Linked DNA regions of Notamacropus eugenii. The protein of the gene in region 1 purifies or fractionates together with the protein of each later gene. This does not show direct contact. Links are inferred from orthologs where the notes say so. Each region holds a gene or a part of one and is shown in the gene's direction. Other genes may lie near its edges.

What was found. Proteins that work in one complex are often made in the same cells at the same time.
Region 2: the proteins of EP300 (region 1) and ATF2 purify together in Homo sapiens (affinity purification with mass spectrometry; 3 studies listed by BioGRID and IntAct, with this or other methods). This does not show direct contact. The link is inferred for Notamacropus eugenii from reciprocal best matches to the Homo sapiens genes EP300 and ATF2.

The regions. Positions count from the first base shown.
Region 1 is NC_092874.1:300,164,819-300,172,024, forward strand, and holds the start of EP300 (histone acetyltransferase p300), read left to right. Parts: upstream 1-4,162; 5' UTR 4,163-4,339; coding exon 4,340-4,433; intron 4,434-7,206. UniProt on the Homo sapiens protein: Functions as a histone acetyltransferase and regulates transcription via chromatin remodeling. Acetylates all four core histones in nucleosomes. Histone acetylation gives an epigenetic tag for transcriptional activation.
Region 2 is NC_092876.1:237,515,206-237,522,498, reverse strand, and holds the start of ATF2 (cyclic AMP-dependent transcription factor ATF-2), read left to right. Parts: upstream 1-4,216; 5' UTR 4,217-4,378; intron 4,379-7,293. UniProt on the Homo sapiens protein: Transcriptional activator which regulates the transcription of various genes, including those involved in anti-apoptosis, cell growth, and DNA damage response.

The DNA.
Region 1 (7,206 bases):
GAAAGAAGCAGCTTTGTACAGAGCAAGAGCAGGGACAGAAAAGCAACTTGGTAAATGGTAAGCAACTTGGCTTTGTGGTTGGACTCAATTACTGTTTATTTTTTTTAAATGAGACAATCAGGGTCAAGTGACTTGTACAGGGTCATACAGTCAGTGTTTGAGGCCACATTTGAACTCAGGTACTCCTGATTCCAGGCCTGGTGCTCTATCCACTGTACCACCTAGCTGCCCCTGAATTGCTGTTTTAAAACTTACCAGGGGGGCGACCTTGGGGCAAGTCAATGCCCCTTTGTGGGCCTCAGTTTCCTCCTCTGTAAAATGAGGGAGTTGGGCCTGATGGTCTTCTCCTAAATTTTATGATCTTATGGCCCAAAGTTTAGAAATGTCAGGCTTCTCTGGAGTCCTGAAACTCCCAGGGGAGCAGAGCAGTAAATCCAGGGGGAAGGGTTAGAAATGAGGACTTTTTTTTTCTTTAACCACTGTTCTGATGTCATCTCAGTGAAACAAATTCCTTGCTTTTCCTTCTTACCACTGTCTACCTGCTCCTTCCCTAGGGGAGATATGTGGAGGGAGTGGGGCCTGGAGTTGGAAGGGACACTTACTGGCCCAATGACCCTGGGCAAGTCACTCAGTTTTTTCAGCTGCAGACTGGGGACAAAATAGCACCTCCCTCACCAGGTTGTTGTGAGGATCGTATGAGAGAACTGGAAGGCACTGAGCACACTGCCTGGTACGTAGTAGGTGCTCTATATCCTAGTCATTACTATTTTCTTCCCTTTGCAGGAAAAGAACTTGTGTAATAGAAAGAGCCTCGGATTTGGATCAGAGGAACTGGGTTCTAATCCCAATGCTTTCTCAATAGCTATGTGATCTTGGCCAAATCCTCTCCTACTTCAAGGCCTTAGCTTCCTGAATAGATCATTCAGCAAGAATTTATTAAGTGATTGCTAAGTGCTAGTCAGTCAGGGCAGTTACCAGGGCAGCTAGCTGATACAGTGGCTAGAGCGCCAGGCCTGATGTCAGGAAGTTCAAACTTCCCTGAGTTCAAATCAGGTCTCAGACACTTAACTAGCTGTGTGACTCTGGGCAAGACATTTCACTCTGTTTGCCTCAGTTTCCTCATCTGTAAAATTGAGCTGGAGAAGGAAATGGCAAACCACTCCAGTATCTCTTGCCAGGAAAACCCCAAATGGGGTCAGGAAGAGTCTGATAGGACTGAAACAACTGAACAACATGTTCCAGGACCAACACTTAGTTCTCAGGAGGTGAGTGGGTGGGGAAGACAACAAGCAAATATGTACAAACTATATACAAGATAAATAGGAAATAATTAAGAGAGGGAAGGCATTGGAATGAAGAGGGGTTGGGGAAAGCTTCCTGAAGAACTGGGAACTGAGGTGGGGCTTAAAGAAAGCCAGGAAATGTTATTAAAGGAGGCAAGAAAATGTTCTTCTTAGAGAAGGCCCCAACCAGCAGCTGTAAAATACATAGTCTGAGATTTCTATTTTCTCTGCATACTGAATTTATGTCCATTATATCAATTTATATCCATTATATCATTTGAACCTCCTGAGCACCTAGTGAAGCAGGTATGAATGCAGGTATGAATGAAAAACATTTATCCTGTGCTCAGTATGTGCTAATCAATGGGGTTACAAACACAGGCACTTTAAAGTTTTATTTTAGACATTTTACAGAGGAGGAGACTGAGACAAAGAGCAATTTGCTCATGAGTACACAACTAAGAGATGACAGGGACAAAATTTAAACTTTGGTTTATCCAGAATCTAAGTTCCAGGCTCTTTTCATTGTCGGAGGCCATGTGGACAATCCTAGGATTCCATACTTTGGAGGCAGGAGGTCCTCTCAGCCTAGTGATTGCAAAGAATCAGAGGCAGAAGGGTCTCCAGGGGCCCTCTTGGTCAAATCTCTGAATCGAATCCCCTCCCTCTATCACACACCTGACAGGTGGTCATACCGACTTTGATTAAAGACCTAAAACCAAGGGAGGAGGGGAAGCCCACTATCTTCTCTTTAACCTCCATTTTGTAGAACAGGAAACAGGGATCATAGAAAGCTGGAGGGACCTTCCAAAACCACCTAGTCCAACACCCTCAAGTTTGGGTTTTTGTGAGACTGGAGGAGATATGCGCAGGGGTCATATAAGTATTAAGTGCCAGGGGAAGGCTTTGATTTCTTGTCCTCTGACTCTCGTTTGTACCAAGGGGATGATGACTTGCCAAGCTCTCTCAAACAGTAACAGCTTCAGCTTAGGTCCTCTGCCTGGATCCCAGTCCATACTTACAAAGATTCTATTTGTAAAGTATTAGAACAGCGCATGGCACATAGTAGGCTCTAATAAATGCTTGTTCCTTCGGCCCCCTGCCGCTCCCTCCATCCAAGGAAGGGTGTCAAAACCAAGGGTTCTTCATGCTGTTTATGTCCCTTCTCCGAGTCATGTCATTCAGTGAATAAAATAAAACATAGAGGAGTGTAACTGAAGTGCTGTGATCACGGATGGCAAGTTAAGAGTCTCAGATAATCCACGTCAAATGGAAAAACAGGGGTGGGTCTGGGGGAGGGGGAGGAAAGTGCATTAGGCTCCGGCTGCAGCGGATCCAGGTTCCGTACTACCAGCGGGGCTTTGGGCTATCACAAACCGCTCCCCTGCCCGTGCCTCAGTTTCCTGCTCTGTAAAAGGAGCGGCACGGAGGCAGTCAGTCGGCGCGATCTCTTCCAGCTCTATTTACCAGTAACCCTCCCAAAGTGCTGCGGCCCTCCGTGCCCACCTCGGCCCCGAGGCTGGCGCACTGGCTCGAGTCTCGGCTTTTCCTAGGGGCAACACCTGCCGGACCAGGGCGGGGTTGGCCGGAGTGGCCTGCGGGGGGCGGGCGGGCGCTTCCGATTAATTACATGTCATTCTTTCTTTATTAATCAGGCCTGGGGGTGGGGGCGGCAGGAGCCAGGAATAGGGGTCTGCTAGGTGGGAGGGGGTGGAGGACGGACAGGGGCGCATTAGGAGGCAACCCCCTGCGCAGTGCCTGGGCTCATTTCAGGGCGTAGCACCTTCCTCTCCTCTCTCCCAGCGGAGGCCAGCGCCAGCAACTCCCGCGCCGTCCTTACCCTCCGACTTTAAATTCCTCCTTACCCCCCCCCCCCTTCCGCTCCTCCCCTTTAAGAATGACGCTCGCTTGGGGAGTTTGCGGAAGCCCCCTGCGCGTTGTCGACGGGCGGGCGGGGGGAAGGCGAGGAGGGGGCGGTCCCGGGCTCGGCCAGTGCCCCGCCTCCTGCGGCCTTCTCGGTGCCCATTGTGCGAGCCTATCCGAGGGGGGGCAGGCCCCGCCCCTTCTCCTCGGGTTCCCTCCCCCCGCCGCCGTCCGTCCGTCCGCCTCCGGCCCCGCCCCCTGCCCCCCTCCCCCTTGGCTCATTTCCGGCCCCCGCCGTCGCTACTGCTGCTGCTGCCCCGGCCGCCGCCGCCGCTGCCGCCGCCGCTGCTGCTGCTGCTGCTGCTGCCGCCGCCGCCGCCGCCGCCGCCGCCGCCGCCGCCGCCGGCGCTCGCCTGGGAGCAGGAGGAGCAGGAGGAGGCGGAGGCGGAGGAGGAGGGCTGGGGGAGGAGGAAGAGGAGGAGGAAGAGGGAGGACTAGGCCGAGCGGAGCGGACGGAGAAGAGCGGAGCGCAGCCGAAGCGAGCGCAGCCGAGCGCAGCCGAGCCGAGGCGGCCGAGCCGAGCCGAGCCGAGCCGAGCGCGGCCGAGGCGAGGCGGGGCCCGGGCCGAGCCGAGCGGGCGCCGCGCAGCGCAGCCGGAGCCGCGCAGCCGAGCGCCGCGCCGCGGACGAACAACAGCCGCCATTTTGTTTGGGTGCGCGGCCCGGCCCCGGAGGAGGCGGAGGCGAGGCCCAGGCCGAGGAGGAGGCGGAGGCGGGCGGAGGAGGCCCCGCGGCGCGGCCCGGCCCGAGCCGCCGCCGCCGCCGGAGAGGCAGCAGCAGCGGCGGCAGCGGCAGCACGATGTGAGGCGGCGGCCCGGCCCGACCCGACCCCCGGCGACGAGCCCCCGGGCCGGCGATGAAGACGGCGACGAGGCCGCGGCCCATGGCGCCCCGCAGGCCCCAGCCCCGCCAGCGCCCCGACGAGCGGCCGGGAGCCGCGCCGGCCCCGCCACTAGGGGGGGAGCGTGCGTGAGCGTGAGCGTGCGTGGGAGCCAGTGTGAGTGTGCGTGAGTGTGCCCGCCGGAGCCGGAGCGAGCGAGCGAGCGAGCGAGCGAGAGCCAGAGAGCGAGCGAGCGCCGAGCGGAGCGGAGCCGAGCCCAGCCCAGCGGAGCCCGCGGCCCGCAGCCCGCAGCCATGGCCGAGAACGTGGTGGAGCCCGGGCCGCCCGCCCCCAAGCGGCCCAAGCTCGCGTCCCCGGCCCTCTCTGTGGCCGCCAGCGATGGCACAGGTCAGTCCGGTCGGCCCCAGGTGCGCGGCCCCTGCCGGGGTGGGGAGGTGGGGGGGTTGGGGGGGTGGGCCCCCAATGGCCCGGGAAGCTGCGTCTCCTGGCCGGGCTGCGGGAGCCCGTCGCCTTCCGGGCCCTGAGTCTCCCTCGCCCCCCCACCCCCAGCGCCCGCACGGCTGGTTTTCCTCCCCACTTCCTACTTTTTCCTCCCTTCCCCTTCTTTCCTGGATCTGGGCTGAAATGGTCCCTGCCTCCTTGAGTATTTTCGCTGTGGACCTTGAGTCTCCGAGGCTGGACGTGCGGGGCGTCTTCGCCTTCCCCTTGCCCCGTAATCCTCGGTTCGGGTTTTTTGCCACTGGCGTTCGGAATCAATATGGAGTATGCACGGGCCGAGCTTGCTCTGCATCTCCCGTGGCTTCGCTTGCTCAGACCAAAATGTCTGAAGCTCCTTTAGGCTCAGCAGGTTGAGGAAGAGCGAGGACAAGGGTTAGTTTGGCTTTTTTCGGGGGGGCGGGTGGACCTGCTGGCTCTAGACTGTCTTCTATCGGCTTTTTTGGGTTTGGGGAGCGACGTACAGATTTAGGGAGCGGGGGCCCCGAAAGGCAGGCTGGAAGTTGAAGGCGAAGCTGCGGGTTTCCCAGGATCCAAGAAACCACGAACTGGTTGCACTGGAACTTAGTTGGCAAGGAGTGGTTTAGATTTTTTGGATGCTTCGACTCGGTTCAAGATGCCTAGTTCAGGTTTTTAGCATTCGCAGTTCTCGGTGTTTCACTCTGTTTTGGGCTCGGCGTGGTTTGTGTGTCGATAGAGACATTCGGAGACCCTCTTGCCGTCTCCCACCCTGATGGCCACCGGTCTCCTTGTTCCTTGTTGTGTAGTTGGAGCTGCCAGGAAAATGAAGAGGAAAAATGGCTGGCCATCTGACAGTAAGGGAGACCTTGTTGCTCCCGCCGTGAAGGGTCGGTCTCGATCAGGCGCTAGTTTGGGAACATCTGAAACAGCTCGATGGGAATAGATGGACACAGTGCATCGTGTCCGCCAAGATGGAAGGATGGGCGTTTATTTTGCTAAATGACTTTAAAATCCTCAAGTTTGGAGAGAATTTTACCTAGCCTTTTGGGATATAGACACCATTTTACAGTGGGAGAATGGGAATTTGACAAATGCTTGAGATGGGGTTAATAGGAGTGTAGGAGAACTTTGATATTGGGCATTGGTTTTAAAGGTTAAGACTGGGTTCGTTGCATCTGAAGAACCTTCTCTCCGATGGTATTCAAAAGGAGGAGGGGATTATAAAGGAGGTACACTGCTGTTCTTAAACATGTATTTTTCCATTCTTGAAAGGCATTCCAAATTTGATTCTTGAATTGCGGATCTACCAAGTTCATTTAAAAAACAGTGGAGCATGTATGAACCCTAGAATACATGTGGATATCACTATGTAGATGTGCCTTTGTTAATAATAGGGCCTGATTTACAAATCATTTACTTTGAAATTTGGGTATGTTGGTGAGCACAGACCTCCTGGGAAGATATTTTGGTTTCTTCATACATTTTACAGATGAGAAAGAATTTTAGGTAAATAATTTCTCTAAAAAATATGTATTCACAAGAATCCAAGTTCTTAATTTTTGCAGGTTAGAATGCTAATCTCCAATAAGCTAATTCTAGTTATGAATAGAAATGGTTTATTCAGGTGCCTACTCTGTGCCAAGCCACTTATCCTGGGGGAGTGGGGGTGCTTTAACTTTGATTCACTTCTTACTACTTGAAATTTTCTTATTTTACACAGTAATTGGCATCCTTAATAGTGGCTACCTGAATGTTTCAGTTGACTTTCAGGAGCTCACTAAAGACGTAACTTTCATCTGTTGAATTGTCTGTCTCGATCTAACTTCACTAAATAACTTTTTAAGTGATTTCCTTATTCAATTTTAGTTATGGTGTAAAAGATTTTAGAAACTTGCTCATAGTGATCCCTGGTTTAGAAAGGTCCAACAAATGGTTTCCTTCTGAATTTTTTTTTGTTGGCTAATTTTGACTGGCAAGCTTAGCCTTGGAGTGCTGAGAGTACAGAACTTTGGAGTTCTCCCTCTTGTAATGTGGGAGTGAAGTAAGTACCTGGCCTCTTTTTTTCAGGATTTTAGTCTATAGACTGGATATTATCTAATTTCCCCCTGTCTATTTTTGACATGCAAACTATATTGCCACTTTTGATCCCTTTGGATGATTGAGAGAATTCTAAATGTGTTCACGAGTTATTTTTATAAATTTTGTTGACTCAATATTTGAATAAATATCTTTGCTCATCATATGAGGTTTTCATTTTGCTCCACTTGCTTCGTCTTTCTCTAGTTTTGACCTTAAGATGTGTTTCTCACCTCCCCCAGCCACCCTCTTGAGGAGTAAGAGGTCTTTGCTAATATTTTAACTTTGCTAAAATTTTGTCTTTTAAGAAAGGAAGCTTGTAAGTTTGACATAACATAATTCATAAAATAAATCCTTTTGCATTTTAATATCCAGTGTTTTCCAACTTACAGGTAGTTTTCAATACTTTGGCAACCAACGTCTTTTTTTAGCTTTGGCCTTTTTCTAACTTCAAATTCTATATTTCAACTTTAGAAGAAATGAGTCACCTGTGTTGGTGATAATTTACAAACTAAAACTGTTCACTGTGCTGAGAATTGCTTTGGAGACATAATTGCCAGTGGCATTGCAGATGGATTTGAGTGGAGCCTAATGCCAGGAAATTTTTTCTTTTTTGATAATTCAGTTC
Region 2 (7,293 bases), on another chromosome or scaffold:
TTCAGTTTTTGGCCACCACAAAGAGAGCTGCTATAAATATTTTTGTACATATGGGACCCTTTCCCATTTCTATGATCTCTTTGGGGTAGAGTCCCAGAAGTAATATTGCTGGGTCAATATTACTTTGGGTATAGTTCAAAATTGCTCTCCAGAATGGTTGGATCAGCTCACAGCTCCACCAACAATGAATTAGTGTTCCAACTCTCCCACATCTTCTCCAAAATTTATTATCTTCCTGGAAAATAGGATTCTTGAAGATGTTTACTACAGATAGAAGGAAGCGAATGAGAAGAAATGTAGGCACTATTGAGATTAGAGGATATGGAAGCATAAAATCATTGACTGATGAACTGAGAAAAGATATTGAAAGAAAAAGCATTTGAAGAGGCCACAGAAAAAGAACTCTGATACCAGTGCCTTCAACATAACTGGCTGCTACTTGGGCCTTTCCCCCTCACAGACTGTTCATGTTTATTTTCTATCATTCCTCTGCTCTGCCGTAATTTTCCTCATTTTTAGAAAACCTGATATTAAAAAAAAATTAATTTATAAAAGAGCCATCATGAGATGATTATTCATGTTATGGAAGCATTCTCTTTCTGAAAGAATTCATGGAAGAGTTCCTTTAAATAGAAAGTTCCCCTCATGCATTTAAGTAAATCATTAACTACTTGGCAGGGAGGCTGAGTGAGTCAGGAGAGCAAGAGAATTTTAAAGCCAAAATATTAGGAGTCACTGCCAAATGAAGATTAATCAGAAATGAAGATAAAGCACCTCAAAACTTTAATGTATGTCAATGAGAAAATGATTGATTTGCAAAAATTAAATGCACATGAAAGTTTTCAGGAACATAGCTACTGGTAAAGTAAGATACACTTATGTTATTTCCTCTGCTGAACTACAAGAGTTTGTGAAATTTTCTTGTCCTGATCACAGCTGGCTTTGTCTTATATAAAGTGTTGGAGAGGGTAAAGAGGTACTATTTTAATGATTCATTCCAGACTTGTTTATGATGAATTTACTCTGCATTTTGTAGATTAATATTTTTACAGTGAATACTTTTAAGCTCCTATAGATAAGGACTGTGGATGTGATGATGTTTTTTAAACAGTTCATTTTAATGATATGCTTTGATGTTTCCTATGAAATTTGGGAAGTTACCATCATTTTAATTTTTAATGTTCAAGCATTAATAATCTGGCATCCTTCTTGTCTTTAGTGTATTGAAAATTAGTTTTAAAAGAGGATTGAGTTGGCTCATGTACATGTATGCATGCCAGAAATCTGTTAAAAGGTCCAGCGCCATTACAACCTCATTTTTAATGCCAGATACCATTACTGAAGTGCACATTCTTTACCTTTGAAATATAATCTGAATATCTGTGCATCAATTTACTTTGTATATTTATATATATACTTTGGGAGGGCATATCACATTAAATATTAATAATTTAATCTGCTTTAAAACAGAATAATAGAATTGTAGCTATGGTTGAGAACTTAGAAATTGGTCTTACTCCTCACCCTCCCTTATTTTACAGATAAATATTCTGGGTTTGATTTGTTTAAAATCAATTACGTTGGTTAAACCAGAGCTAAGACCCAAATCTCCTGACTCCCAGTCTAGGTTTGTTTTTTTTCCCCCATGCCATTAAAAGTTGTTTAAAATGTGAACAGGAAGAAGAAAAAACTGATTAGAGAATACTGAAATAAATTTGCTCTTATAGAAAGTGCTGTTAATGAAAGATTCTTAAGTTTCACTAGGGGGGCAAAAATACTTTTCAGGCCAATGCCAATGACTAACTTATTTCATTAAATAATCCATTGGACAAATAGTCTTGATTAACTAATATTACTGAACACCCTTGAAATCCATATATTGTATAGAGAATTTGGGATTGATTATTAAGAAGTCCAGGTACATGTGCTTTTCATGATCTTTAGGAGCACACCTGTAATTTAATAGTAGGGCTATAAAGCACATTTCAGGGAAGCTCACATGAAAAGCTGGCCCTGTGGTCTTCCACGTGAGTTTGATAAAATCAATATTCTTTACAAAGCCATCTATAAGGTGACAGATGTTCCCCTTTTTATTGGAATTATAAGTGATGTCTGTAATGTGATAGTCACAATATAATGCTCATTTTGGTATTATTTCTACATATAATTTTTTATAACTTTTTCAAGTGATTCAACTATTGTTTGAAAAGGCTTTAATTAATAACTGAACTTTGCTGAACTGATAAGTTATATTTGAAGTCCCCAATGTTCACTTCTGAATTTGCCATTAGAGAAATGTATTGTGGATCTTTATTTAAGTATAACTAGAAAAAATACTGTTATACATACCAAGAGGAAATACAGTGAGATGATTATTGTTTTCTAAGCATGAATCAAATTATTGTGGGCAATATTTCATAATCTCAATTTCCTTTCCATAATTTTGAAAGAAAACTTAGAATGCTATGCTTTTTTTGTCCTTAAATTAGCAGATATTACACATCTTCACCTTTTAACCTTCCAGGAGAAGGCAATCTTCTCGAAGTATGGAGTCTCATTTTTCTTTTTGTATGACCAGGGCCTGGTGACTTGCAAATTGTATATACTTCATGACTGCTAAACTGTGAAAAGCGCAGATTTGGAGTTAGAAGATCTATATTTGAATCTAGCTCTTCTCTGTGTGAAATCAGGCAAGTTTTTAAAATCTCTTTGGGTCTCAGTTCTTCATCTGCAAAAGGAAGAATTTGGATTGGGCGATCACTTAAAGATTCTTTCAATTCTAAATCCCATGAAAGTGCAAATCAAAAATGAAATTTGTGGGTGATTCTTTGGTGGGATTACTAATAAATGCAAACACAATTATGTTTGAGCAATGTACAGGCATAATTTTTCAGAATTTAAAAAAGTGATTTTCTTCATTTTGTAAATACCCATCAAAGCTGAAGGTGCAGCCATTTACAGCCATCACAGAATTCGGGCTGTACGGGACTTTAAAGGTGATCTCATCTAAGTCCTTTCATTTTTATAGATGAAGAAATTGAGGGCCAGGGACGGGAAATAACTTTCACAAGGTTACACAGACAACAAATAACAAGTAACTCGAGATTCTCGGACTCCAGAACCCCAAGCCTGACTCCTTATTTGAGCTCTATTAATGAGAAAAAAAGTGATGGATGAGTGTAGCCTAGGAAGGTCATTTCCACCTGCAACCTCGGCAGTGGTAAGGTAAGCTTCACATTCTGGTCCTGAAGGGAAGAACGAGTCCCTTCCTTCCTATATGGCGATCGGGGGTGACCAGGAGGGAACCTTCTCTAACAACCAGGTGAAAGTGGAGGCTGTTGGGGCGAAATCCCTTTCAACTTGGGTCCCACGTGACTAACATTTACTTGGAAATAGAGTCCAAATTCTCAGGCAGCTTTCATTCTAGTCGGAAGCGAACCGAAGCGATCGATTACTCTGGCTGTCCGCTCTCAAAACCACCTCTCAGCCTGCGTCTTTTTTTTCTTTAGGTGTGTAGGCACTTAAAAAAGGCAAACAAAAATACCCACTCCACCACCTGAGCTCCGCCTCTGACTGATGTGGCAGCAGCGGACAGAGCCCCTTCAGGTAGGCGAGAGGGACTGCGCATGCGCCCCAGGACTGAGGGTGGCGCCGGGGGAGGGGAGCAGCAAGAGGAGGAGGAGGGTGTCGCGTTTCTCTCCCAGGTCTTCAGGCGCCCGAGGAGTCACTTGAGAAGAGGGCAGCACCTACTAACTGCCAAGCCCTGCCCCGTGGCTGGGCATGGGAGCCACACTTCACAGCCTCACCTATTCCTCCTCCCCCCCGGAGGACCTCGGCGCGCTGCACTACCGAATTCCAACGCTCGCGTACTGTACTCCCTTCCGGCCAATCACGGCCCGCCGCACTGCTTCTAACCTGAGAGAACTCTCCACTTCCTTCCTCTTCCCGCCTTCTTCCCGCCCCTTCACGGTCCTCGACCAATCATAGGATGTAAGCCGTCTCTTGTTCTCCGCCTCCACCCCATTCTCCTCCTCTTCCTTTAATCCCACTCCAACTCTTTTGCCGCCCCACCCTCTTAGTCTAGCCAGCCGGGACCGGCAGTTGGTCCTGCGGCAGGAAGGGGAGGGGACGTTTTTGTAGGGAGGGGAAGGGGACGTGGGAGGGGAAATGTAGGAGGGAAGGCGCGAGAAAGGGGCGGAGGGAAGTGTTGTCAGTAAGATCTCGCGAGATCGGACGGAAGCCTGTGGGAGCCCGTGGCCTTTAAAGTGCGGTTCAGCCCTTTCCTCCGGGGGTAGTTTGTAAACAGCTGTGGGTGCCGGAGCTCGTGGTCACGGCCCCCGTATTCGGGGGTGGCGCGCGAGCCAGGGGAGCGGGGAAGGTGAGTGATGGTGGGGATCGGGGTGTCGGACGGGAGCAGGCGGGGAGCACCGAGGGAAGAAGGCGCTAACATGGCGACGTCGCTCGCTACAGTCCCCACCCCCCACCATCCACTCCTTCTCGGCCCGGGTCCCTGTTCCCTCGGTCTGTGATGGCAGTTCCGCCCCCGCTGCGGCCTGGGTGGCGCCTGCCCCGCGGCCTTTCGAGGACCGGACCGTTAGGTGGGTGGCTGGCCGGGTTCCGGCTCCTCCCGGCTCGCGCGCTTTCCTCTGCCCAGAATAACGGCATCTGCTCTCCCCCGCTCCGGGCTCTCCCGGCTTTGGGGGAGGCTCCTGGGGGGCTGTGCCCTCCGCTGTGAAGGTGGGCGTGACCCCCCCCTTCCACGTTCCCTTCCTCTCCGGCCTGGAGCAGGAGCAGTCCTCTCCTGCCCCCCTAGATCCGGCTGGTGCGTTGGGGCGCTGGAGGCGGCGGCGGCGGCATGGAACAGGAGGGGCACCTGGGCCCGCTCACCTCCCTGACCTGGGTGGTGGGCATCCTCACTGCGAACCGCACCACCGCTAGTAGTCATGGCTTCTGGGAGGGCCGGCCTGCTCTTTTTTCTTTTCCCTCCCCTCCGTAGGTGAATGCAGGTGTGTTCCCATCGGTGACCTCCGCTGGTGTACAGCCAAGTCTTTGTCAGGGGATGATCTGGGATTTTTTCCTTAGCTTTTCTTTATCCTTCACACCCCAGGGCACCTGTGGGGGCTACCTTATTAATGACTGTGGTCTTTTCCTGGGAGGGGACTAGGGAAAGGGCGGAGGTGGGAGCCCCTTTTGTGCGTGCCTACTTGTGTGCTCTTGAGGTCTGGTGTAAAATCCTCCTCTGAAGGGGATGTGGGAGCCAACAGCACAGCTACTCTGTAAATACAATGGAGTCACAGGGATTACCCATATCTTATGGAAGCCAAGCCTTTTATTGTAGTTGAAGGAACATAGGCTCCAAAATTTGTTAACTTTCATGTAGGGGAGATAATTAAATGAACGCGTCCAAGGAGTATTTCAAAAGCTATCCATGTTCAGCCTTGGAACATTTTGTTTCTTATATTAGAGCATATTTGTTAAACAATTGTTACTAACGGGAGTTTTAGGCGAGTTCTCATTAGGAAAAAAACACCCAATCATTCTCATCTGTTTTATTAAAACTGTAAAAATGGGTGCTTGTTAGTAAAAGTTTATTTTAGAGGTCTAGATATTTATGGAATCAGGGATTAAGGACTATGTAATTCAGGTCGTTGGATTAGATTATCAAGTTATATTGGCCACATTGAACCCAAGAACCCATTATGAACACCAATACATAACTTTGAGCATTCTTAAGAAGTATGTAAAATGAGCCATTTTTTTTTATTTAAAAATTGAGTCACAGAAGTTCTTACTGATCTGCTGGTGCTTCTCCCCTGCCTTCCCAATTATTTTTGATCCTGTGTGTGTTATTTTCCCCAATAGAATGTAAGCTCCTTGAGGACTGTTGTGTTTTTTGTCTTTTTATCACCAACACTTGACATGTAGTAGGACTTAATAAATGTTTATTGATTATTTCATCCTAGAAAACTAAAAGTGAATTATTTAAGAGTTTTAAAGTATTGACCTAAACTACTGACTGATGAATTGTAAAGTATAAGCATTTCCCAAGTTTTATATTGTTAACCATTCTAGTTTTAAAAATGTAATCTTATATTATTTGGATATTACTGTCTTCTTTATATTTCTAGTACCTAGCATAATGACTGACCCATAGTAGATACTCAAAAAATGTTTTATGAGGGAAGGATACACAGTGATATTTCTTTTAAGAAAAAGCATCCTATTGCTACTATTTATACACTACTTTGAAGAGACAGGAAGTACAAGATAATGTTCTCAAAATACTTCCTAGACAGTTGCATAGAATCTGATTTGGAAGGGTCCTTAGAACCTGTCTACTGTGTCCAATACTGGAACAAAAATCCTCTCTCCACCATCTTCAGCAAGTGACCATCCGTTCTTTTTGTCTGATGACTTCTTGGTAACATTCTCTCAGGTAGCCCATTTCCTTCTTGGAGCGCTCTCATTAGGAAAGTTTTTTTCTTATATGAAGCCTAAATCTACCCTCTAACTTCCAGCCCTTGCTTCTAGTTTTGTTCTAGCCATAAAAGAACAAGGCCAATCCGTTTTCCACATGACAGCTTTTCAGATACTTGAAGATGGTAGTCGTGTATCTCCCTAGGTCGTCTCCAAGTTAAATCTTCCCACTTCCTTCAACTGAATCACATGTGGCATGATCTTGAAACCCTTCACAATCCTAGTTAGTCCTCTAGATGTTCTTGAGCTTATAAACATTCTTTTATAAAATGCAGCACCCAAAATTAAACACAGTACTCCAGATGTGGTCTTACCAAGGCACAGTATAGTTGAACTATAACCATTATGATGCTTCAGTAAACACAGGTTAGTATCATATCACCTTTTCTGTCACCCATATCACTCTCTTCACTCAAACTGAACTTGCAGCTGCAAGGTCTCTTTCAGATGACATGTTTCCGTTTCAGATAACTATGTTTTCCTCATCTTGAACTTGCAAAGTTTATTTTTTGAATCCAAATGAGGTTTTTACATTTACCTCATATATCTGCACTGCCTGCCATCTAAGCAATGAAAGAAATAGTGCAGATATCAGATAGAAGTCTGTTTTCTTTATCAAAGTCACTTATGTAGGGGAAAAACCTTTTGAAGGTAGTAATATTATATTCTCTTTAAGCCTCACATACTTATGCAGATCTAATGATTTTTTTATTCATTATTTAATTGATCATCTTGGAGGAAGATCATAATTACCCAAAAAGTTGTTAGTGTTTTCCAGAGAAATAATCTTTCAAAATAGCATTATTTTAAATAGTA